Rhinolophus ferrumequinum: one gene and its partner. The protein of the gene in region 1 interacts with the protein of each later gene in a biochemical or structural test. Links are inferred from orthologs where the notes say so. Each region holds a gene or a part of one and is shown on either strand. Other genes may lie near its edges. The genes, in order: PIAS3 and MITF.

The links.
Region 2: the proteins of PIAS3 (region 1) and MITF form a complex in vitro, tested with the Homo sapiens proteins (2 studies listed by BioGRID). The link is inferred for Rhinolophus ferrumequinum from reciprocal best matches to the Homo sapiens genes PIAS3 and MITF.

The regions. Positions count from the first base shown.
Region 1 is NC_046305.1:50,104,345-50,116,062, reverse strand, and holds the start of PIAS3 (E3 SUMO-protein ligase PIAS3), read left to right. Parts: upstream 1-6,447; 5' UTR 6,448-6,462; coding exon 6,463-6,492; intron 6,493-6,769; coding exon 6,770-7,187; intron 7,188-7,338; coding exon 7,339-7,423; intron 7,424-7,654; coding exon 7,655-7,705; intron 7,706-7,956; coding exon 7,957-8,047; intron 8,048-8,528; coding exon 8,529-8,663; intron 8,664-8,876; coding exon 8,877-8,982; intron 8,983-9,541; coding exon 9,542-9,615; intron 9,616-9,736; coding exon 9,737-9,897; intron 9,898-10,583; coding exon 10,584-10,717; intron 10,718-10,797; coding exon 10,798-10,966; intron 10,967-11,129; coding exon 11,130-11,263; intron 11,264-11,452; coding exon 11,453-11,490; intron 11,491-11,718. UniProt on the Homo sapiens protein: Functions as an E3-type small ubiquitin-like modifier (SUMO) ligase, stabilizing the interaction between UBE2I and the substrate, and as a SUMO-tethering factor.
Region 2 is NC_046300.1:63,428,961-63,440,963, reverse strand, and holds the start of MITF (microphthalmia-associated transcription factor), read right to left. Parts: upstream 4,773-12,003; 5' UTR 4,601-4,772; coding exon 4,497-4,600; intron 1-4,496. UniProt on the Homo sapiens protein: Transcription factor that acts as a master regulator of melanocyte survival and differentiation as well as melanosome biogenesis.

The DNA of each region.
Region 1 (11,718 bases):
TAGAGCATTTGAAGTGAGGTTATTGAGAAGCCACATATGGGGAATCACTGGGTGGAGTCAGGCATTGGTGAGCAGGTAGAGGGTGGGGCCTGACATGGGATGGAGACTGAAAAGAGTTGCTGAGTGACTCTTCTAAAGTCTGGGGTAGAGAGATACCCGTGAACCATGAGTGATGGTGTGATAGTGGTACAATGTCGTTTCCTGGGGTGCAGCGCTACAAATTCCAGAATCTCCTTCACTCCCCCACCATTTATTCAAAGAGTAGTCATCCCCCATTTTCCTCCCCACCCGTATGCTGGTGGCCATCTTTTCCAGGCCAGATAGATGAGGGTCCCCTTTAGCATCTTGGCATGGGTGGGAGGAGACTGAGGCTATGGAAGTGTGTGCATTTCATCCTTGAATTTCTTCTTTCAGGGAGGAAGAGCATCCTGGTTGCCAGAGGCTCCCCATAAGGCTGTAGTGGGTGAGGGTTTGGTCACGAGGGAGGGTGTGGGTGGGGCTTCACCTGACATCCTGGACCCCAGACCTGAGAACCTGAACTCTGGGATCTGGAATCAGCATGGCTGTGACCAGAAGAGGTATGGATGGAAGCCAGCTCTATGGAAAATAAAACAGGAGGCAGTGTGGTACTGGGTTGTCTTCATTTTTTTTCTGTTTAAAGGGGTGTGGGGGGAGAATCACAAATGGCCCCATAAGTCAGCAGCTTTCAACCTTTGATTATGATCCATAGTGAGAAGTACATTGTGTGTCCTGTGTGTACACACTTGAAATAGTATGTACCCTTACTATTTCTGTTCTAGTCTATTCTCTGCTATGATGCTCCACTGAAAAATATTGGTCAAAACACATCCAATAATGGGTCAAGACTTTGAAAAACAGCCCTCTGTGAAAATGGGTATGGACACTCTTCCTTTCTCTTTCTCAAATCTGTCTCTTACCAACTGACACAGTTCTACTCATTTTTTTTTTCTACCTTGGGATTCCCGAGTCCACTATTTTTTTTAAGGAGGAGAGATTGAGAGACCTGGATGTTGAGGTGTACAATCTGAAAGATTCTGTCATGTGTTAAACCGTGTGTTTTGAAGCACGTGGTCTCATGTGCTCAGTGTTCTAGTCTGGAAGGGGATGAACGGACATTCAGAGGTGGCTTCTTCCCTCCAGTTCTGTTCTCAGACTGAAAAAATCTATCTCTCTTGGTTTCTTCCCATGGGTCTCCTCCCCTTTCTGTGCGTCCAACAACTAGACCTTTAGGTGAGAAAGAAGCAGTGAAGTCCTCCAACATCTGGAGTTTTGGTTTGGTGGCCCACACTTTGATCCCTCCCCATTTCTTCTCTTAGCCCGCCCCCTGCTGGGTTAAGCTGGGTCAGCCAGCCGTGGTTTGGCAGTACAGAGACTGAAGTGGGTTGAGAGAAGAGTGGGGAGAGGTTGTCGTGGAAGACAGGGGGCCACACCAGGGCTGCAGAGTCTGGCTCCAGGGTTTGGCCAGAAAAGAGCAGTTGTGTGAATGAGGTCCTAGGAGAAGATGAGAGTCAGCTTTGGGGTGTGTGTGGATGGGTACAGGACTGCTTTAAGGCTGGGAGAATAGAGACACAGGGATTGATGGAGAAAGGGAGAAGGGGTACAACTGCCAGAAGAGCCTCAAAAAGGTCCTAGTCATTTCTATTAAGAGGAATGAACCTCTCTTTTCTTTCCTGCTCTTAGAGTTACCAGAAAATATAAAAGGCCTGACTGTTACATTCCTTCTTACATGGAGTATAGGGTGGGAAGAATGCAGAAACTGCCAAGAGAAGGGTCCAGAGACGGGGGGAGATCATTTGGCTAAGTTCAAGTATGAGTCAGGAAATAGCTTTGGTAATGGCAGCCAGGCCTCGGGCTCCCTCCAGACTCCTGGAAGCTGATCCCAGGATGGCTGAGCTGTGGGAATGGTCAGTGATGTTAAGATTAACGCAGGAGTGGAAGCTTCCCCAGCCTTTGGTCTTCCCAAACAATCTCCATCTATACAACCCCATAAACTGTGACCCCAACAACCCAAGCCCTGAAATTCTCCTTGATTTCATAAATAAGTCTCTCCCAAAGTAACCGTAGTCCTAATGTCCCCCCATCCCTCCTGGGCTGTCCGTTTCATGGGACTTTGGTAGCGGTTTACTACTCCTGTTTCACTTTCCCGTCGCTCCCCAGCCTTCAGATGTAGGGGTTTATGGGTAAAGCTTGGTGGGCCATGATGGGGTTCAGATTCTGTCTTTGAATGTCCTCAATCTGGAACTTGGTCCTGATTTGCAGATTCCCTCCTTTGTCTGGTAACATTAATTTATTACACTGATATTTAAAGAGTCTACTACGTGCCAGGCCCTGGGGATAGAGAGTGGACAGCACCGAGAAGGTTCTTGTCCTCATGGAGCTTGCTTGCACGCAGGATCAGATTCAGGTGCCCTGCAGGGTTCCTAGTTTTCGAGCATCTTGTAGGGATGCCGAACTTAGAACTCAAATGAACTATTAACGGAGATGCCTCCTTTATGAAATCACTAGGAACCAAGCTGAGGTTGACTTTCTTTTATATTTTTACAGCTTTAATGAGGTATAATTGACATACAATAAACTGTATGAACTTACAGTGTACAGTTTAAGTTCTGACATGTGTATATACCCATGAAACCATCTCACCATAAAGATCATGAACATCCATCATTCCCAAAGAGTTCCGTCGTCTCTCTCTCTTTTTAAATCCTCTCTATCCTCCTTCCCTCGAAATCACTGAAAATTCTAGAAGATACAAAATAGTCCATAGTCACTTTTTTTTTTTTTTTTGAAGTTAGAAAGTTTGTTGAAGAAGAAAAGCGCCGACAGAGAAGCCACCAGGGGCAGAGTCTAGATAGAGCAGACAACTGCTCATAATAACTTTTGATCTACAGGAATGAATAGGAAAAACAATGAGCTCAGGGCCTGATGAAGACTCAAGTGTTGGAGACAATGGTTGGGATTAGGGACCAAATACTTGAGATTCAGATTAGCTTGAGGTCCCACCATTGCTCGCAGCAAAGCAGCAAGGAAAGAACCTGAGTGTCAGGTGAAAGAGGACATCTTCCCTAAGGACAAAAATCCACTAAGTAGTTGGGCATAGTGCAGTTTAGAAGGTACATGGGATATTGGTAGGCTGGCACCTTCAGGCCTAAGGCTTGGGTGGGGTCTCATGGGGGAGGATTACACTGAAGGTTTAAACTAGATGAGAGAATTATTATTATTTACTAAAGCACTCTTTTTGTATGCTGATTATAGTATGCTGATTAAGTGTCTTGTCACTGCTGCTAGACTGAGAACTCCTGCAAGGCTTTTATATCCCAAGCACCTAACAATGTCTGAACAGCATTCAACTATTTATTGAACAAACACATTAGCATTTAGGTCCCAGCTAACAACTATAAAATGCTATGTTTGTTGTGAGTAACTCGTTTGGGTAAACTGCCCTGAAGTTGGTGCTTTCAGGAGACGTGCATGTAAGGGATTAGCTTGGCAGAGGATGGGGCCTCTGGAAGGTCCAAGGCTTTGGAAGAAGGGAAGTAGTTGAGAAAGGGGCAGAAAAATGCCATATTTGGGCAAGAAAACCTCCCCTCTGTTCACCTTCAGCTACACCAAAGGTGTGGGGTCTCTGGTGTCTGCCCGTGTATTTGGGGTAGGGCGTGGGAGACCACAGGTAGAGTTAGGGTTCAGGTACACTTTGGATTCTAGCAGCCCAGAACCTCTTTATGCGGTCAGATCCCTGGTCCAGGCCGTCTCATTTCCAGCATGCCTCCACCTCAAGCCCGCACACCAGAGCAAGGGGTCAGAGCGGTGGTGAAAAAGCTGAGCTCCGAGAACGTCCACTCTCCCCGCCGGCTGACTCCGAGGAGTTAAAGTCTCCGGAGCCTGACTCCGAGTCCCTCCCTCTCCCGCCTCAGACTCCGCCCCCTCCCCGCCAGCCGGCAGTCCAGGCCGGCTTACCCGGGAGGGGGCGGCCCCAGCCGGAGCGCTGGGCCGGGCGGAGCTCCCGCTCGGGCGGAGCTGCGGCTGCAGCGTCCAGCTGCCTGACCGACCTCCAGCCGTGCAGCCTGCGGGAGCCGCGCCGGGCCCCCTCCCCCACCTCCCCAGCCCACCCTCTGAGCGCCCTCCCCGCTCCCCGCTACCGAGCTGGTAAGTCACGCTCTCGCACCAAACTTTTCTGCTGCCAAGTCTGAGTCCTGCGGCCGGACCTCCAGCCACATTGTAGTTGGTGGTGGTGGTTGGCGGGCGGTGTGTGTGGGGGAGGTTTGAAGGATTGAGAATAGCCGTCGTGAAATGAGCTATTCACGACTCCATTGCTTCCCTCAAATGGGTCGGATCTCACCCATTTCCCGAGTTGGCAGAACTCATGATTTTAGCGGCTTAAACTTGTAAAGAGGAAGAGGAGGGTATTTTGGAACTTCGCTCCCCCATCCCCCATTTCTGTAAGTTTTAGCAGTTCTCGATACTTTCCCTCGGTATTTCAAGACGCTGGTTTCCTAAAAGCTCATTCCCTCCTAACTCCGGCGTGGCAAAACCTCCTCCCCCAGGCACCTCTGTCCCGCCTCCTCTCCTTTACCCCCCGGAACCCCGCGATCGGGCTGTACACTCCCTCGGTGTCCACCCGTTTCGCATCCCGGCCAAAGACGTGCCGGGGCTGGGTCCGGAGTGGTGGGAGGGGCTGAGGCTGGGGCTTGTCCGGAGCCAGGCGGGCGGGGCCGGGAAGGGGAGGTGTAGGGGCCGGACGGGGCGGAGCAGGCGGCATTTGCGGCCGGCGCCGGGGTGGAGAGTTGTGCGCCGGTCCCTGGGCCTGAGCTCGGGCTCGGGCTCGGGCGCCTGCGATGTCTCAAGATGGCGGAGCTGGGCGAATTAAAGGTACCGGCCCCCTCCCCCATCCCCATCTGGACTGAGCCCGGCGGTCCGCCGAGTCGGGGGAGCGACCGAGACTGGGTGCTGACGGCTCGGGTGGGGGCTGGAGACGTGGCGGGAACTGGCTGCTGGGGATGGGAGAGAAGTGGCTGTGGCGAGGAAGGGGCTGCGGCGGAGCTCCGGGGGCGGGGCCGAGGGGCAGATGGAGGGGTGGGGCCGAGGGGAATTGCAGCTGTTGGGGGCCGATGCGCAGGGGGCGGGGACGCGGGGTAGGAGTGGGATTTGGTGGTGGGGGCAGATGTAGGGGTAGGGTCAGGGGGAGAAGCTGCTGTAGAGGCACAGGGGGCAGGTTGATCAAAGCCAAGAGATGCGACAGTAGGGGCAGATGTAGGGGTGGGACTGGGGGTCAGGCGTACTCGAGGCTCCTCTGGGAAATGCAGCTGAGAGGTAGAGGCTTTGGGGCTGCTTTTGGGATCCCAGCCTTGGGAAGTACCAGTGGGCGGCTGATCTAGGGGGCGGGGCTGTGCAGGCGCTAGATGGAGGGGTGGGGCAGAAGCATCCTGGAGCCCGGGAGGCAGGTCCTGGAGCCTCACTGAGTTTGGTACCTTTGGGCAGAGACAGAGGAGGCTGAAACTATGGGATAGAAAGGGGGGAGTTCTTGTCAAAGCTAATGGGGACATAAGCACAGGACAGAGGAAATAAGGATGGGCAAAAAGGTATAGGAGCAAGTTTTTTTCATCACACTCCTCAAGATTCACAGAAGGGAGTCCTTTAAGGAGAGAGCTTCTTGGGTTCTCCCACTGCCATGCAGTCTTGAGAGTAACCATGTCCGAGGCCATCTCACAGAACCTTAAAAACCCTTTGGGTTCATCCCCTTGCCTCCCGGCTTTGTTCTGCCCTTTGAAATGGAGCCATAGCCCTGGGCAGGCCTGAGGTCTAGTCACTGGGCCCAGCTGCCTTTGGGAGAGCTTGTGATTCCTCTCCGGGGCCACCTGCCTTCTCCTCAGTCTCCCAGGGCCTCTATTTAGAGTCATGCCCTCTCCTCTTCCTCTATGGAGGTGGGGAGGTGGGGGCAATCACTCATTTTTCTCTATGAAGGAGACTAGCAGGATATTTGCTCCTGACAGATGGAGTAAACAGGCAGGATACCTGGACTTGGGGATTCACCGTTAGCCACGTCGCCCCAAGGTTTGGTCTTGTTTCCCTCCCAGAAAAATAGGACTGAGGGAGGGGTGGTTAAGTAAATACACTGAGAAAGGATTTGGGGGAGTTGTGAGCATTGAACCCTGACCTGAAAACCCTGGCTTGGGGAATATAGCTGAGGTGGACTGAAGTGTCTGGAGAGGTGGGCGGGGGACACAGTCCTCCAGCCACCTGGCCCCCTTCTTCTCCGTGGGGCGTCTGGCCTAAAACCTCTTCTCCCCCTCCTTCTCCCCGTGTCCTATCCTCTTCCCAAGAGGCTGGGATGGATCTGAAGGTCTGAGAAAGAGCAGGAGAGGAGATAAGCAGCTTAAAGGAGCGTCCAGGTTTGAGGCGGGGATGGAGGTTAGGAGCCTGTAGTGGACTCAGGTGTGCCTGAGGATGGCTTGCTGTCTCTCGTGCCCCCACCAGGTCAGCTTCCAGGCAAAGGGAGATAGGGTTGCTCAAGCTCTGGGGGGGGCGGTGGGGGTGGGGGCGGTGGTGAGGTTGACTGAGGGTTGCTACAATGGGACTGAGATGTCCCTTTGGCCAGGTTGGGTGTCTGACAGTAATTCACTGGCAGCAAAGCATCTTTATGATCAGTGCTGGAGGGAAAGAGGCATTGACCTCCCTGGTAGCTCTGCCCCAGGCTCCTCGGCAGGACAGGCCCATGGAAGATAGGATTCTCAAGCTTCTCTGTTGCCCACAGCACATGGTGATGAGTTTCCGGGTGTCTGAGCTCCAGGTGCTCCTCGGCTTTGCTGGCCGGAACAAGAGTGGACGGAAGCACGAGCTCCTGGCTAAGGCCCTACACCTCCTCAAGTCCAGCTGCGCCCCCAGCGTCCAAATGAAGATCAAAGAGCTTTACCGCCGCCGCTTCCCCCGGAAGACCCTGGGGCCCTCAGATCTCTCCCTGCTCTCTCTGCCCCCTGGCACCCCTCCTGTAGGCTCCCCTGGTCCTCTAGCTCCCATCCCCCCAGCCCTCTTGGCCCCTGGCACGCTGCTGGGCCCCAAGCGTGAAGTGGACGTGCACCCCCCTCTGCCCCAGCCTGTGCACCCTGATGTCACCATGAAGCCATTGCCCTTCTATGAAGTCTATGGGGAGCTCATCCGGCCCACCACCCTCGGTATGGCTCTTTGTGGTCCCTCAGCCTTCCCGACTCCATGTCTCCAAGCCTCTCGTAGGCTTTATTCTTGTGGGATCAGCAGCCTGGGATGGGGCGACTTCTGCGGCTGCCTGTGCACAGGCTTGGGAGTAACTGCCCTTTGTGTCCTCAGCATCCAACTCTAGCCAGCGGTTTGAGGAAGCGCACTTTACCTTTGCCCTCACTCCCCAGCAAGTGCAGCAGATTCTCACATCCAGGTGAATCATCCTTCAGTCCTTCTGCCTCATCCTCGGGCGGTTATCCCTGGCCCCTGCTCTCTCTTCTCTCTGCCCTGCTCTCCTCCCTGTCCGTCCTTCTGCACTCGCTTTGCTGCTCGTTCTCTTGTATGTCTCATCTCTTCACTATCCTCTGCATATCTAAGTTCTGTGTCTCTGTTCACCTCTGCCCTCCAAGGGCTGCATACTGACACCTCTCCCTCTCTATTACAGAGAGGTTCTGCCAGGAGCCAAATGCGATTATACCATACAGGTGCAGCTCAGGTGAGTGGACCCTCCCTCCCTCCCTCCCTTCCTCCCTGCCAGGCTCCCGTTGGGGGTGGGAATGAAATAAGGGCATGACAGGTACTCCTAGGAGATGTCCCCACTCTGCTGTGTCCACTGGCCCTGGGTCTCTTTTGGGTGCTGCGGCCTACGGATACCTACCACTGATTTTCTGAGGTTCCCTTCCTCTCTGCCAGATTCTGCTCAAGAAACTGCCTCTTGCCCTTTCATCTTCTCTCATCTCTTCCCAGGTTCTGTCTCTGTGAGACCAGCTGCCCCCAGGAGGATTATTTTCCCCCCAACCTCTTTGTCAAGGTCAATGGGAAACTGTGCCCCCTGCCGGTAAATGCTCTTTTCCTTCTTCTGGCAGTAACCCCTTCCCTGTTTCAGTTCCTAAATATTAACTACAAACTTGTTGTGAAAGAGACATGCCTAGTACAGTGCCTGGCACATAGTAGGTGCTCAGTTTACTGACCGAATCACTATGATCTAGAAAGTATTAAGATAGCGCTGAACAAGGGTTTTGTCAGAACTCAGAGGAGGGGTGTTAGTTCCACCCAAAGGTTCTTCAGAAGCGATGACACCCAGAGCTGAGAGTCGGACGAAATGGGGCGGCCCTATTTTTCCTCCTCCGGAACTCAGTGAGTGGGTTCCTGTTTCCTTGGTCAATGAAGAAACTCCTTTTCCCCCAGGAATGAACCCCACCCACAACCCTTCGATAGTGCCCCACTTTTGTGAGTCACAAAATTGACTGAGCTAGTCTTCCCTCCGGGAAGTGAGGAACCCGAGACAAGATGTCTTGACCAGGCCCTCCCTTCCCCAGGGTTACCTTCCCCCGACCAAGAACGGGGCTGAGCCCAAGCGGCCCAGCCGCCCCGTCAACATCACCCCCCTGGCTCGACTCTCGGCCACTGTTCCCAACACCATCGTGGTCAACTGGTCATCAGAGTTTGGACGGGTGAGCATGGCTGAGGCAGAGAGGCTGAGAAGCCTGCAGGGAGTGATGGGAATCCCCCAGTGTCCTGGGTTCGGGAAGCATCTTCCTCTTTATGGGGCTCTTTGCCTTAACCCGCTGTCTCTGGTCCTCATGGGACAAAGGGTAGGGGGGTGGTAGAAGCTAATTGTCTCCCCCACAGAGCAGAAGCTAATTCTCTCCCCCACCTCCAAGTAGAATTACTCCTTGTCTGTGTACCTGGTGAGGCAGTTGACTGCAGGGACCCTTCTACAAAAACTCAGGGCAAAGGGCATCCGGAACCCAGACCACTCCCGGGCACTGAGTGAGTAGCGTCCCGCTCCCTTCCCCTCTCTCATCTGGATCCAAGTCTCCCTGGCCCTCCATCCTTGACAATCAAACCCATACCCCTCTTAGGACAATGTATCTCACCTCTCACCTTAAGCCCACGCCTCCCCTTATCTCCCTTACCAATTTCGTGGTTGTGAAGTCAGACCACTCCCACGTGCTGAGTGACACTCTTGTATTCCCAGTTATCCATCTGCTTTGCACCTCCCACACCCTAACTCTGGCCCCCCTGGAATATGGCTTCTCCAGACTGGGAAGAATCTTAAGGATCGTCCAATCTAACTGTCTCGTGGTGCTTCAATTCCCCCTAGGTCATGTCTGCCAAAGTGTCACCCAGCTGTATTTAAGCATCTTCAGGGATGATGAAATCTCTGTCCTCCACCCAGCCTTCATAAGTCCATGTGACATCCCACTGGCCTCCAAAGCCTCTCCCCAGCTGTCTGTCAGCCAGAGCCATCTGCTTCTGGCCTTGCCTCCTTCCTGGCTCCCTCACTAGCCTTGCTGACCCCATGGCTCTGGCCTCACTCTTGTTTCAGTCAAGGAGAAACTGACCGCTGACCCAGACAGTGAGGTGGCCACTACAAGTCTCCGGGTGTCACTCATGTGTCCGGTGGGTACAAGAGAGAAGAGAAGCGGGAGGAGGGTTGGGTTAAGCCTCCGGACTCAGAGGATGGTTCCTGGGCTCTTAGAGGAGGTGTGGGGACTCTGACCAGAGAACTTTTTCTCCTCAGCTGGGGAAGATGCGCCTGACGGTCCCTTGTCGTGCCCTCACCTGTGCCCACCTGCAGAGCTTCGATGCTGCCCTTTATCTACAGATGAATGAGAAGAAGCCAACGTGGACATGTCCTGTGTGCGACAAGAAGGCTCCTTACGAATCTCTTATCATTGATGGGTAGGGCCATTCTGCATTCCGGGTTCTCACCGAGGGCGGCCACGGGCCCCTCCCCCACATCTATGCCTGTTACTGGGGATTTCCAGCCGTGAGGACTTACTGTACGCTAAACGTGGTGCTGAGCACTTTGCAGGCCTTCTCTCCCTGAATCCTCCTAATAACCCCATGACGGGTACTGGCGTGACAGGTGAAGAAACAGCCCTAGAGAGATTGAGTCTTTTGCTCAGTTCTGTTGTTAAGTGGCACAGCCAGTGGACCACACTGTTACAATGTTCGCCTGCCGAGCTCTCCCTGAGCGTAGCAGGCAAGTGCTTCTGAAGCGTGTGCTGATCGAGCTAGTTCCGACCCCCTTCCCGAGCCCACACTATGGTTCTTGTGCCCAGTGCCCTTTTTCAGATGGTTTATGGAGTTCGGCATCCTTCTTCCCTTTGTCTTGAAACTAGTACTACACAAAATAGGTGCTGAAAATGTGTTTGTTTTAAAGCTTAGCATTTAAAGTTTGCAAAGCTCTTTTACATGCTTTGTTTGATTCGAATAACAACTCAAAGAGGTCAGTAGGGTAGGTAATACCCACGTTTTATAGATGAGCAAGCTGAGGTTCAGGAAAGGGAGTCCCAGAATTCCCTGGGGACTGTCCCAGCCATCTCCCAGCCCATGAATTCCCTTTTCTCCCCCCAACCCCCCAGTTTATTCATGGAGATTCTTAATTCCTGTTCGGATTGTGATGAGATCCAGTTCATGGAAGATGGCTCCTGGTGCCCAATGAAACCCAAGAAGGAGGCATCTGAGGTTTGCCCCCCGCCAGGGTATGGGCTGGATGGTGAGTGACCCCCTGTCCCCCAGCACAGCTAAGTCTGGGGTGGCCTCTTCTCTGAGACACAGTCTTCTTACCACCCACAGGCCTCCAGTACAGCCCAGTCCAAGAGGGCAATCCGTCAGAGAATAAGAAGAAGGTTGAAGTTATCGACTTGACAATAGAAAGCTCGTCAGACGAGGAGGACCTGCCCCCGACCAAGAAGCACTGCCCTGTCACTTCAGCTGCCATCCCGGCCCTACCTGGAAGCAAAGGGTATGAGGAAGCAGGCTGAGTCTATAGCAGAAGGGACCAAGGAAGAAGTGCGAAGCTTTCTGGCCAGTGTGCCAACCCTGGGGTGGAGAGGGCATGTGGGAGGCTGAGCTGGGTCAGGGCATCTGCGGGTCACTGGCTACCCCAGCTCCTCCTCTCTCCTCAGAGTACTGACATCTGGTCACCAGCCATCTTCGGTGCTACGGAGCCCTGCTATGGGCACGCTGGGCGGGGACTTCCTGTCCAGTCTGCCCCTACACGAGTACCCACCTGCCTTCCCACTGGGGGCCGACATCCAAGGTAGGACACTGATCACAGGGCGGGGCCCCACACTGCCGCATCCTCCCCAGAACCAGATCGGAACCCCTGCTCCTCTTCAAGCCTTCTGGCTGTCTTTGCAAAGGGCCACAATCCATGAACTTCTTTGGTGTTTCTTTGGCGGTGAAGGGGTCAGACAGGAGGTTGATTTTCATTTTTTTTTCCTACCAGGTTTAGATTTATTTTCTTTCCTTCAGACTGAGAGTCAGGTAAGTGGCCCTGATCTTCCCATGGAGATGTCAGATCTCTGAGGCTTCCTTTCTGGGCCCTGATGGGCACCCTCCCTCTCCTTTTCCCTGGAGTCCTAACCCTGCTGCTCTGTGAGGGAGGGGGGAGGGTGCAGGCTGTTTATTTCCTTCCGAGGCCCCACTGGTACCTCCTCAGCTTCTCACGCGTTCCTGGGTCCCCGGTTACTGTTCTGTGTAGAGATTTTGGTA
Region 2 (12,003 bases), on another chromosome or scaffold:
ATGCTAGGGGATCCCTAGCTTGGACAGACGAGAAAAATCAAGAAAACTATCAGAAACCAATAATATGTTGACAGTTTTGTTTTGCCAAGAATGGATTATCATTTCCTAAAAAGAAAGGGCATTTTTAGTAGGAAGATGAGAGGGAAAACCTGAGAATAAATCCATGAAATTGCAGAGGCCTTATACCGAAATATGTGCATGTGACTGTAACACAACAGTCTTTTTGTCTTTCTCATTTCACCAAATCCTGGGAAAACTTCACACACCTCTCTCTGAATCAGCATTGGAGAATTATCGCTATATCCTGTCCTGCCATTGTAAACCAAAAACTCCTTTTAATTTCCATTTCTCATTTGCAGTAAGTTAAATAACAGTTGTCTAAAACATCACTAAAATTTTGAGAAGAAAAGAAATGAAATTAAAGTAAGCCAATTCTAAGTCTGTCCAGGAAAAGGAATTAGCAACTACAAAGCCCACAGAAATGGTACACCAAACAAAAGGACCATGAACCTGAAAGAAGCTACCTTATTTTTAAATGTTTACTTTGATCACAAAGACCTACAGAGAGTTCCTTCACTGCCGGGAGCTCATTCAACAGTTCCACATTTGTTTCACAGACCTGACTGTGCCTACGTGTGAATTCTGGGTTCACCCTTGATATTCAGCACTTTTCCTCTATCACCCCACCATTTCCACCACAAAGAATTCAAAAACCTTGCTAGAGGAACCAAACTGCAAATAATTCTATATTAGAACCTTGTCTCGTAGCATGTGTCCTCCTGCGACACAGCTTTGCCAGTCAACAGGACCAAAATGGGGTTCAGGTCTTCTCAGTCCAGTAACCTCACATTTCAAAGGCCAGGAGGTCAGCCCAGGAGGGTTAGGAATGAAACCATCCTTCCTCCCAAAACGCTTCAGATCTCAGTTTACTCCAGATGAAGACTATGTCAATTCCTGTTTGGAGAGACCCTGGCGGTTAGTTACCTGCTTTCAGAGGAATGCAATGATGACGGCAAAAACAAAAACCAAACAATCATCCTGAATGAGGTGCTAAGGGAGAAAGCAACACATGTTCAAACAACAAACCATTTTTGTGCCAGGCATTGTTCTAGAGCCATGGTTCTGAAACAGGGGTGATTCTGCCCCCATGGACATTTGGCAATGTCTGCAGACATTTTTGGATGTCACAACTGGGGAAAGGATGCAACTGACCTCTAGCAGGCAGAGGCCAGATATGCTGCTGAACATCCTGCCATGCTCAGGACAGTCCCACAACCAAGAATTACCCAGGTCATAATGTCAATAGCGCAAGGTTGAGAAATGCTATTCTAGGACCCAACAGTCAACAATGAAGAGACAGAAATCCCCGGTCCCTCAGAGCCGGCAGTCTAGTGTGGAGAAACATGTAATGAACATATTAGAAAATTACAGAATGGTCACAACACAAGTACTATGGAAAAAAGAGCAGGGCAAGGCAGATGCGAGTTTGGAGATTAGCAATTATAAATAGTGTGGACAAGGTGGGCTTGGCAGGAAGGACATTTAAAGGACAACTTGAGGCTGGGGGAGGGGAGGGAGGAGTGAGCACTGTGACTGTCCAGGCAGCGGGACCAGCACACACAACCTAAGAGGGCCTGAGGGGGGAGGCTCTGGAGCGTTCCAGGAACAGCAAGCAGACCAGTGGGCTGCAGCAGGCGAGCCAGGAGGGTGGCAGCAAGAGATCCACTCAGAGCTGACAGGGACCTTGGTTGCCTTCTGCCATTTCAAGGATTTCAAGTTTTACTGAAACTAGGAGCCACTGCAGGTTTTTGAGTAGAGAATGACGTGACGCGATAGGTTTTAACACAAGGTTTCTCAACCTCGGTGGTGACAATTTGCGGCCAGATAATTCTTCCTTGTAGGGGCCATCCTGCGCACTGTAGGATGTTTAACAGTATCTCAGGCCTCTACTTCTCAGAGGCCAGTAGCGAGCCCCTTCTGTTGTGACAACCAAAAATGTCTCCAGACATTGCCAAATGAACCCTGGGAGGCAAAATCAGCCCCAGGTTGAGAACCGGTTTTAACAGGAACCTTGTGGCTGTATGTTGAAAACCCACTAAAGCGCGTAAGGGTAGAAGACAGGAGACCAGTTAAGAGACAACTGCAATGACCCAGGCGAGGGTGATGGTGGCCTGGACCAAAGCGGTCGCAGAGGAGTGAGTTGGTGAGAAGTGGGCAGATTCGACATATTTCCAACCCCAAGAGACAATCCTGAAAATACAACCGATAGACGAAACAGCTACAGCGTCTTAAACTTCCAATTTCAACTTTTTCCAACAAAGATGTATAAGAAGGGAGGTGCCCCATCAAAGACTCAAGACAAAAAGCCATAGAAGGTTCTGAACAATGTGTAGCCCTTTTAAAGACACACAACACATGTCGATGACAATACATTAGGCAACTATGGAAAACACTATGGAGAAATTCTGTCAACCCCACATATTTATTCCCAGATTTTGTTTAACTGCTTTATTTCAAAGAGCATGTGTCTGCTCCAGTTTTCCAACCTTTTCAATTTAGCCTTCCTCTTCATCCTGGTTTTGTCCCACACCTGTTTCTAGCTTCAGCGTGTGTGAAGCCATTTCTTCCCAGGTACCACACTTTTCCTTACACGTGCCAGCTAGCTACAGAGGACGTTCACCCTTGCAAGTAATTTTTTGCCAACTCTGAAAAAGAACAGGCCCAAATCCTTCAACATGAGTTTCATGGCACTCATGAGGGTTCTTCCAGATGGTATTTTCCTCACTTTCAAAACTCATTTAATGTTATGTATCAGCTACCATCAAAAATGTCCCCAACAGTCCAGTGAATTCATTCCTTTCAGGACCACACACACACACACACACACACACACACACACTCCCTCATTCTGGCCATGTAAGCATTTGCTTATAGAAGCAAAAGCAGAGGTTGTTCAGTAAAACACTGGTCCCTTCAGCTGAGTGCAGATAAAGCCCCAGTGAGCATAACCAACAATACCCTTTGCACAATATTACTCAAAACCCTCAACCCCCAACACACACAATCTATGCTCACACACAAAACAGCCATTATGAAGAGAAACCACCAACTAAAGGCGGGTTTTATTCGTCTAACTGCAGAGGAGGTTTCCTTCCAATCTCCCTTAGCATCTGCAGAGGCTGCTTCAGCAACGGGTCAGTCAGTGAGTGTGCTGTTCAGATTTTCTTCCTCAACTTGGGCTCGGAGTTTTGACACAGCCCCAAAGGACACAGCCCTAAAAGACAGAGCTCTGCTTTCTACTAGAGCCAAGTACCAGCCTCCTCACCCCAGAAGCAAAGATTACACCCCCGCCCTCCTGATTTGGTTCCCCTTCTCCACTCACCCTGATTTCTGGCCCTTCATCCCCTCTGTCCGCCGGGCCCATTAACCCAAGCCCTACCCACAGTGAGGGGCAGGCAGAGAGGTTTGAGGTGGGTGCAGAACCACTTCTGAACCTTCCAGTTAAATAGCCTTATCTCACAACCGAGAGGGATGGAAATAAACCCTCTCTACTCTCACAGCTTGAAATGGCCATCTCCCTCTTAGTAAACACTGGAAATGTTCGGAGTGGCCCGAGGACCGAGAAAGGAAGACACCCAACCCATTCCGCCAGAGAAGTGGTAATGGAGGTAGAACAGGGAGTGGGCAGCGGAGGTGGCAGGGCGCCAGACCAGCGGGTGTCTTCACTCCTCTCCTAAAAAGTTTACGTCCCTTGCTAATTAAATCGCTGCCGTGGAAGGGACACTGCCAATGCCTTCCAGTCCCAAAGCTTTCTCCCCTCCAGCATACGCTTGGATTTGAATGGGACTCTACTGCCCACTGAGTTGAACCTGGACGCGGAGACACGCCCACCCACGGCCCCCGGCCCCGCCCCACTCCCTGGCCGCCGTCAGGAAGGTGAGAGGCAGAGCTCAGCGAAACCTCACCTGGAGGCGGCCAGGGGCGGGTTTTCCCAGAGGGGCCAGATTCCTAAGAGGCGACAACAAACGAGCTAATTGCTTCCCTCCAACGTCGCGCCTCGCTCTACCCCAAGCTCTCCCTCTCGGATCAGCCCGCTGGGATCTTCAGTAGAAGGATTCACTAGAAACTCTTTTCCCCCTTCGCAGCCGGCCATCCGCCGGGCCCCGCGCCTCCTCCCCCACCTCCACGCCGGGTCGCTCCCCAGCCCCCACCCGGTCTCAGCAGCTGGCATCCCCAGCCGAGGGTCCCCACGCCTGAGCCGGCCACCCGGACTGCCCGCTGAGCCCCCGAAGTGCGCTTGGGCAGAGGCCCCCAGAGGTGCACCGGCCTGACGGGCGCAGACCCCAACTGCGGGGGGCAGTTCGCCCTCTGCCCCGGGGCAAGGGCACGAGGTCCTTGTCCCAGAGCCCGGGCGATTGGCTCTTCTCGCCCCAGGGCGGGAGGCGCGGGGCACCCCCAGCCTCCAGCCGCGCCTTCCTCCAGCTGTCACCACTCACCTGCTCTTCAGGGGTTGACTTTTGAGTTCGTAATAGGTTTTGGGCTCTTCGTGAAACTCCTCCCCGACTTCGAAATCCGGCACGATCCCCGATTCTGACTGCATGGCTCCCGCTTCCCGTCCTTCCACTGCTCGAAAGGGAGAACTGAGCCCGCGAGCGGACAGAAGGTGGCGGGGCCTGGGTCCTGCGAGCGTGCGCCCCCACACAGTGCCCAGCTCAGCCCGCTGGCCCGCGCGCGGCCGCCCGCCCGGCGCGGGGAGTTTACACTCGCACCGGGCGGGAGGGGCCGGCGGCCGGGCGCTGCCTGGGATCTGTAGTTCGGCCCGGACGGGGCATTCCCGGCTCGCTGGGGGAGCCCTTCCCGCGAAAACTACAACTCCCAGAAGGCCAGGCGGGGACAGAGGCAGCGTGGTGGACACCGCTAGTGCAACTCCTGTTTGGATTCATTGTCAATGTCAGCAGCTCCTCTCCCTTCTATCTCCCCACTTGCCTCAAGGGTACAGACTTGGCTATTTAATAGTAATAAGAACGGACTCAGCCTCTCTCTCCTACCGTCACCCCTCCTCCCAGCTCAGACGTTTGAGAGGAGACGCCGAGTCCTTATTATTTAAAAAAAAAAAAAAGTGGATAGTTTTGGCTTTAGAAAGTTTTAGCCTTTATGCCTGCCTTAAAATAAAAGGACTTCCTATCAGCCCGCTTGCTTCCCAGCACTGCTGCGACACATCATCGTGTCCTCTGATTGGAACAGAGTGGAGGAACACTTAGTAATTGAAATATTATTGTGGAAAGTGTTCTTGGGCGTTCCTTTTCTATAATTCAGTCTGAGCTTTACAATACCATTCATCCAGCTGAATGTCTCTTTCCCTTTATCCAATTAGCCACTTCTAATCTAAAGCAGCTCTTGAAAGGCTCCGTTAATTTAAAAAGGCACCAAGTAACAAAACAACGTAGTCACCGTCTGTTTTTAATTTCTCAGTTGGCTGGGAGTTCAAACGAGATTGTCCTAACATTTCAGGGGTGAAGCTGTGGAGCAAAAAACTGTACAAGTGTCAGCCCCCAGCCTGAGCTTCCCGGCACTCTGTAAGCGCCGGGCTCTGTAAGCGCTTGTTTTTGCTGTCAGTCCACCCTCTGATTAGTTCCAGTAGGATGGACTCCTTCTTTTAAACGTGTCTTGAGGCATCAGGGAGGCGGTAGTGAGTTAGAGGGTGGCGTTGAAAGTGTTAAGATCCAGAGTTGAAATCCTGAGTCCTTCTCTAAAGTGCTGTGCAATTTGGGGCATGTCACTTGATTCTTAGAAGCCTCAATTTCTTCATCTATAAAAGAAGTGATTGACGAGCTTGTTTTCGAAGATGTTGCATGGTCAAATGCAAGAGAAAGTGATTTGTGATCTATAAACATTGCTGCTCAGTGGTCATCCTTTTATTTATTAGATCTTGAAGATACTCCTTTCAGACTAACATTTCATCTGTGAGTTTGTCCTTCAGACTTCATGAACGAAGTGATCATCCTAGGAGAAAACTAAGGAGGCTACTGGGTAGGCGTCTGCCAGGAGCTGGCCATTTTGCCTCAATATGAAACATTGTAATTTCACATAGAAAAGATCTTAAGTAGGATGGGTTGATTTTAGAGTTAAGGATCTCCACAAAGAGATTTGGGGAAATGTGCAGGAGGTACACAACTGCCAAAATCCCACAATAAAATTTACTCCCCAAAATACTACCTTTAGGTCCTTCACTATTCCATTAAAATATGGCAAAATATCTGGACAGTCCTGAGGAAAGTGGGCTTTTTGTGCTCATGAATGTGGGATCCCAGATCCCTTGATAGATGGAAAGCTAGAAATTAGATGTTAAAAGTTTAAAGAAGTGTTATTCTCTGCCAGAAATAAGAGAAAGGTAAAACACAAAGAGAACTTTCGACCTAGACTTCTACTCTCATCTTGATTCTCAGCTTTTGGTTCTTAAAACGTGGTTGATTTTCATAATGAGTTGGGGATATTACAGGAAATTTAAAGGGTGTGGACCAGAGATGCTATACATTTTGTAAAGTAACAAACTTTCTTGTCCAGAAATCAATGGCACCTGTTGAGAAACACTGGAGTCTTCTTAATCTTTTGGTTCACCAGAAGCTTTTTAATCAAAGGAAAAGCTATGGACCTTCTCCCCAGAAAATATAAATGTAAATAAGATTCTATTTATAATTTTGGTCTGTTCATCCTTTGAAGGCCTTCATCTTAGAAACGCAGTTTATAACCTCTTTAGAACCATAGTGAAACAATCTAGTAGGTCATTCATTATATCAGTGACCCGCTAGACCGAAGGGACCAAACTTAAAGGGAAAAAACTGTCAAAAAAGCTAAGATCCCTGAACTTACCTCCAACCAAGGGCACCTTCCAGAGAGATCCCTAAGATGCAGAGCTCTGAGCTGAGGTTGCTCTGAAGTACGCACAGATACCTGCTATTTTTTCTCCCTACACCTTTTCTTCTGGTCTCACTCTACTCTTGGTTCAGAAAAACTTCTCTTCCATTACATATGGCCAGGATATTGATTGCAGTGCCATCTGCTACCCAATGGAAGTAGGTATATGACCTAATCCTGACCAATCAGTGGGCCCCGTTTTCTTAGCCACAGTGATTTCTTTTGAGACAGACAGCATCCTAACATGACTAGAAGTCCTCCTTTGAACTTTTCTGCTAGGGCAACTGGAGAAGACCGTCTGATTTGGGAAGCATGGGGCTGGAGGGAAGAAAACTTAGAGCTAATTACTTATGGCATCCTAGGAAGCTGATAAAAAAAAAAAAGTGAGAGAATGAGATCAGATCAACAATCAGAGAAGCAGATATCCTTAGATTTCCCAAATTTATAAACCAAATTTTTTTTCTTTTTGCTGCAACTATTAATATTTTGGTTTATGCTTTTGTCACTTGCAACCACAAGAGCATTGAGTAATCATCCTAAAGACTTTTCATTCCTTTAGGTGGAACATTTTCTGTGGACTGCCATAACACTAATCCACATAATAACGAGTTGTCCCTTGTAATTTCTCTTCGTTAATGAAGTAAACAGTAGGAGTAGTTACCTCTTCTTTAAAAAGGTGATTTAAAGTTCACAGCCCCATATATTTGAAACAAGGACTGTGCCTATTGAAAGTACAAAAGTAATGGCTAGAGATTGTAATTACTGTCACTAATAATCTGACCTATATTTTTCTAATACTTTACTTTTTGCAAATGCTTGTCATATGTACCTCTTATTTGAGCTCATAGAAATCCAGCAAGAATAGAGAGCAAGGGTTTCCATTCTAATATGTATAGAACATGCACTAGTTATGGATATGGCATTGAGTTAGGTTGCCCAAATACATGAATGAATTTTACTTTCTTCCTGCTCTCAAGAGACTCACAGTGCAGGAGTTAAGTCAAAGCTTGTACCACAATGAGAAACCACACATTAAGTGCTAAGAAGCAGATCATTTGTGTAGGATTAGTACTGTCTTATCCATTTAGCTCAACAACTATTTATGAAACATCTAGTCGGTGCCAGCCACATTACGTGCTAGATATGGGGAAATAGCAGGGATGAGCCATGTATGGGCCCTGTACTCAGGGCGTAGTCCCAGCCCTTTCAGAAATAGGAATGAAAATGATTTAATGAATGAATAGAGTGATAGACAGGTAGGTGCAACAAGTATCTGAGAAAGCAGCAACACCTGAGGGCAGGGATGGAGATGAAGTGAAGAATTCTCAGAGGAGATGTGACTAACCTAGATCTAAAAAAGAAAAAAAAAAAAACAAGGAAAAAATCTAGGGTATAAAACATAAAAATTGAATCTAATCAAGCTGCTAGATCTAACCACCAATTTACAGGGAAAAAATGAGAGAAGAACATGTTAATAATACCACAAGGATGCAATCAGACAAACCCAGAAATTGAGAAATTCTACAAGACATTGAGAAATTCTTCAAAAAATAAGTAGCATGAAATAAAGGGGAAAGAGGAACTGTTATAGATTTTTAAAGATTTAAGAGACATATTAGACATGTAAATTATATCACTATTAAGAAAATGAACTGGGAAAAAGGGATATCACTCAAATACATTATGTAGACTTTGTCTAGAGCTTAATTTGAACAAACCAATTGTCAAAATTCATTTTGGAGAAAACTGGGAGTGTGTGAACATGAACTGGAATTGGATGATATTAAAGAATTATTGTTTATTTTATTAAGTATGATACTGATATTCTGCTCATCTTGTTTTTTTAAAGCTCTTATCTGTTGTTAGAGTAAAATGTTGAAACTGGGTAATGTGTCATGGAAGTTTACTTCTCTCTCTATTTTTGTGTATATTTGAAAATTTCCATGATAAAATAATTAAACTTAAAAAAGTGAGAAAATAAACTGTCATAATGTTTTTTAAAATGGGGTATACTTTATGATAAAATTAGATAAAAAGGCATGTGATTCAAAAAGAGAAAATGGACATGAGAAGTTATGGACGCAGGATTGCATGTGGTGTGTTTGAGGAAAGAGGCAACAGAAACTGACCATAGTTGATTTAAGCAGAAAGGAATTCATTGAAAGTGTATTGAGTAGCTCACAAAGCCTCAGGAACAGCAGCAGAATCTGGCACAGACACTGTGCAACTAGGAACCACTCCAAAATCTATGCCATGGACCTGGGCTAGTGAAGGCCCCCACCAGGGCCACCACTGTGTCACTAAACATCACAAATTACCCCCTTAACCTGACAGGACATGGGATGTTGTCGAAATGCTGGGAACTGGATGTAGCCACAACCACCTGCCACCAGAATGGATCAGACAGAGTTCCAATTACTTCACCTATTTATTCCAATTACTTCCAATTACTTCACCTATTTATCATTCAGTCCGAGTTCAAGGCTGGACTTGATTGGCAGATCTAGGTTTTGTGTCCAAATTCTAGCTACCCAACCATCCCTACTTTAGAGACTTAATATTTTTCAAATATAAAATGAACCTATTTTGCAGTCTCCCTGACAGCAGTAAATTCAGTTATGTGTACAAAAACGCATAAAGCTTCCCCACCCCACCTCCTTTTCAAACATAATCTAATTCAACTTCTGTTTCTCTTATTTGAAGTGTATTTTAATAAGCACAGGATTGAATGGTAATGAAACTATTTTGTTACTTTAAAAAGATGAGACAAGCCCAGAGGGAGAACAATGTCAATAACAGAAAACTGTTAAGGGAAGGAGGTTGTCAGCAGGCCAGCTTTCTGCACAGTCCTCCCAACGCACGTTTCCTGCATGTGCCAAGGTGGTGCCCAGACATGGCCCGCCCCAAGAAACCAATCTAAGCCACACAAAGTTCAGGCATGGCATATGTCAAGTGGGAAAGTAGTTAATTTTCAAGGCATACATCTGCTTATGGCTTTGTAGATTTTTTAACTTTTTGGTTAGTGGATTTCCTTGAGAATCTGATGAAAGTTGTGGACTTTCTTACTAGAAAAAAGAGCATACTCAAAGTGTTATTTGCAACTTCAGGGGTGCCACGGACCACTCTGGATTATCCATGTTTCCTCCAGGAGTCTGTGCGTCCTGGTCTTCCAAATATATCGTTCTTACAAATGCTGTACCATGCAGCTGTCTAGAGCCAATGAAGGGAGGTGAGGGGAGAGGGCGTAGTGCTATGCTGTGTGGACCAGGAGACGAAAGTGGAGCGCCCTTCTCAAAGTATCGTCCATTAACCACGTGTATCATAATTATTTGGGGTGCCAATTAAAGTGCCGATTTCCAAGCCCTGAACAAGAACTGCTAAATCAGAATCTCAAAGGGGTGACAACTGACAATCTGCTTTCTAAGCAAGCTCCCCAGTGAGTTCTTAGGCATGTGGAAATTTTAGAACCACTACTTTAAGGGGTGATCAAGCCAGGCAGAAAGAAAGCACAACAAAAGAAGGGTACCAAAACGAGGCTAGAAGAAAGCTAAAAAGAGGATGATTAATAAATAATCCAATGCAAAATTTGTGAGGCATGGATCTGAACATGAATGGATTAGGAAAGGCTGGATGACATCTGGAGTGTGATTTCCATGACTTTGGGAATGAAGGTCTGACAGGTTTCAGAAAGAGCTGATTGCAATGGGGCAATTGAAGAGTCACCAGGGCTAAGAACTGAACAGTGGTTTGGGAGATGGTTTCACCTGGTTAAAAGCTGTTAAAGAAAAAAATTATTCTGACACTTGTTAAAGAACAGTTAGGCCAACTTTATTCAGGAAGACTATTGCAGTAAGTCAGGAACGGCTGTGAGGGGGCTTTGAAGTGGAGGAGATTGGCTTAACCCCAAATACAAGGAGCGGAGGAGGATTTATAGGCAGAAGCAGAATGGGGGCAGGGCTGGAAGGTGGTCAGAGGGTAGAAAATTACTGAAAGTGTCGTAGAATTCTTTTCTAAACTGAATGAACAGGATTCTCACTGGAGGCAAAGGAGGGGAATCAGCGGGGGATGTGAGGCTGCCGGGTGATGAGGAAGGTGATCAGCTATTGAGAGTGAGAGGTGTTGGCTAACACGACTTGATGGGATTTCTGTTCAGAATTGGTCCATGCAAACGGAAGTCCAAAAGTCAAGGCCTAATTGGGAAGAGAATTCAGAGTAGACCGACTAAAGTTTGGTCAAGGAAACACTCAAAGCAAAGTAGTGCCTTTGTAGCTCAGGAACCCCCAGGCCAATGGCAGCAGGTGATTGTCAGCTCACAGTCACCAAGGCAATGGAGGAAGAGTGGTCTGACCTTGGAGGAAGAGCGGTCTGACCTTGGTGTGGACTCGGACTCCAATCCCAATGCAGAGCCGTCAGTGAAGTCATGCTTTACATTCTTGTTCCAGGATGTCTGAGGCCACAGGAATTGGAATAAGAAGGAGAACACAAGACATTCCAGGAGATAATAAAGAAAAGAGAAGGAATATACACTCCAAAGTGGGCATTTCTCCTCTCTGCCTTCCTCTAACAGCCACCAAAGTGAGGTTGCTGGCTTTTATACAAAATATTTAAAATAGATTTATCTTCTTATTGGAAAAGTAATAATATTTATTATTTGAACATTAGAAACTGCAGATAAGTAAAAGAAAAAGGCCCATAATACCACTACAGAGATATTCATACCTCAGTATATGTCATTGTACATTTTATATATATATATATATGTATATATATGTGTATATATATGTACACATATACCTATATATATAAAGTGTATATAATGTATATAATATATATAGGGCTCTATCCTATATATATATATATATATTATATACTTTTTATAGAGCAAGGGGGTGGGGGAGAGAGATGTTCAAAAAGAGGTCATACTGAATACACAAGTGTCTCCTACTTTTCCCTTTCACGTATCACGAGTAGCTTTCCTTGTCTACCACTTTATTTTAATGTTTCTAAAATATTTCCATTATATAAATTTATTAAAATTTACTTTTCTAATCTCTGTATTGTTGGGCCTTTAGGTTGTTTTCAATTTTT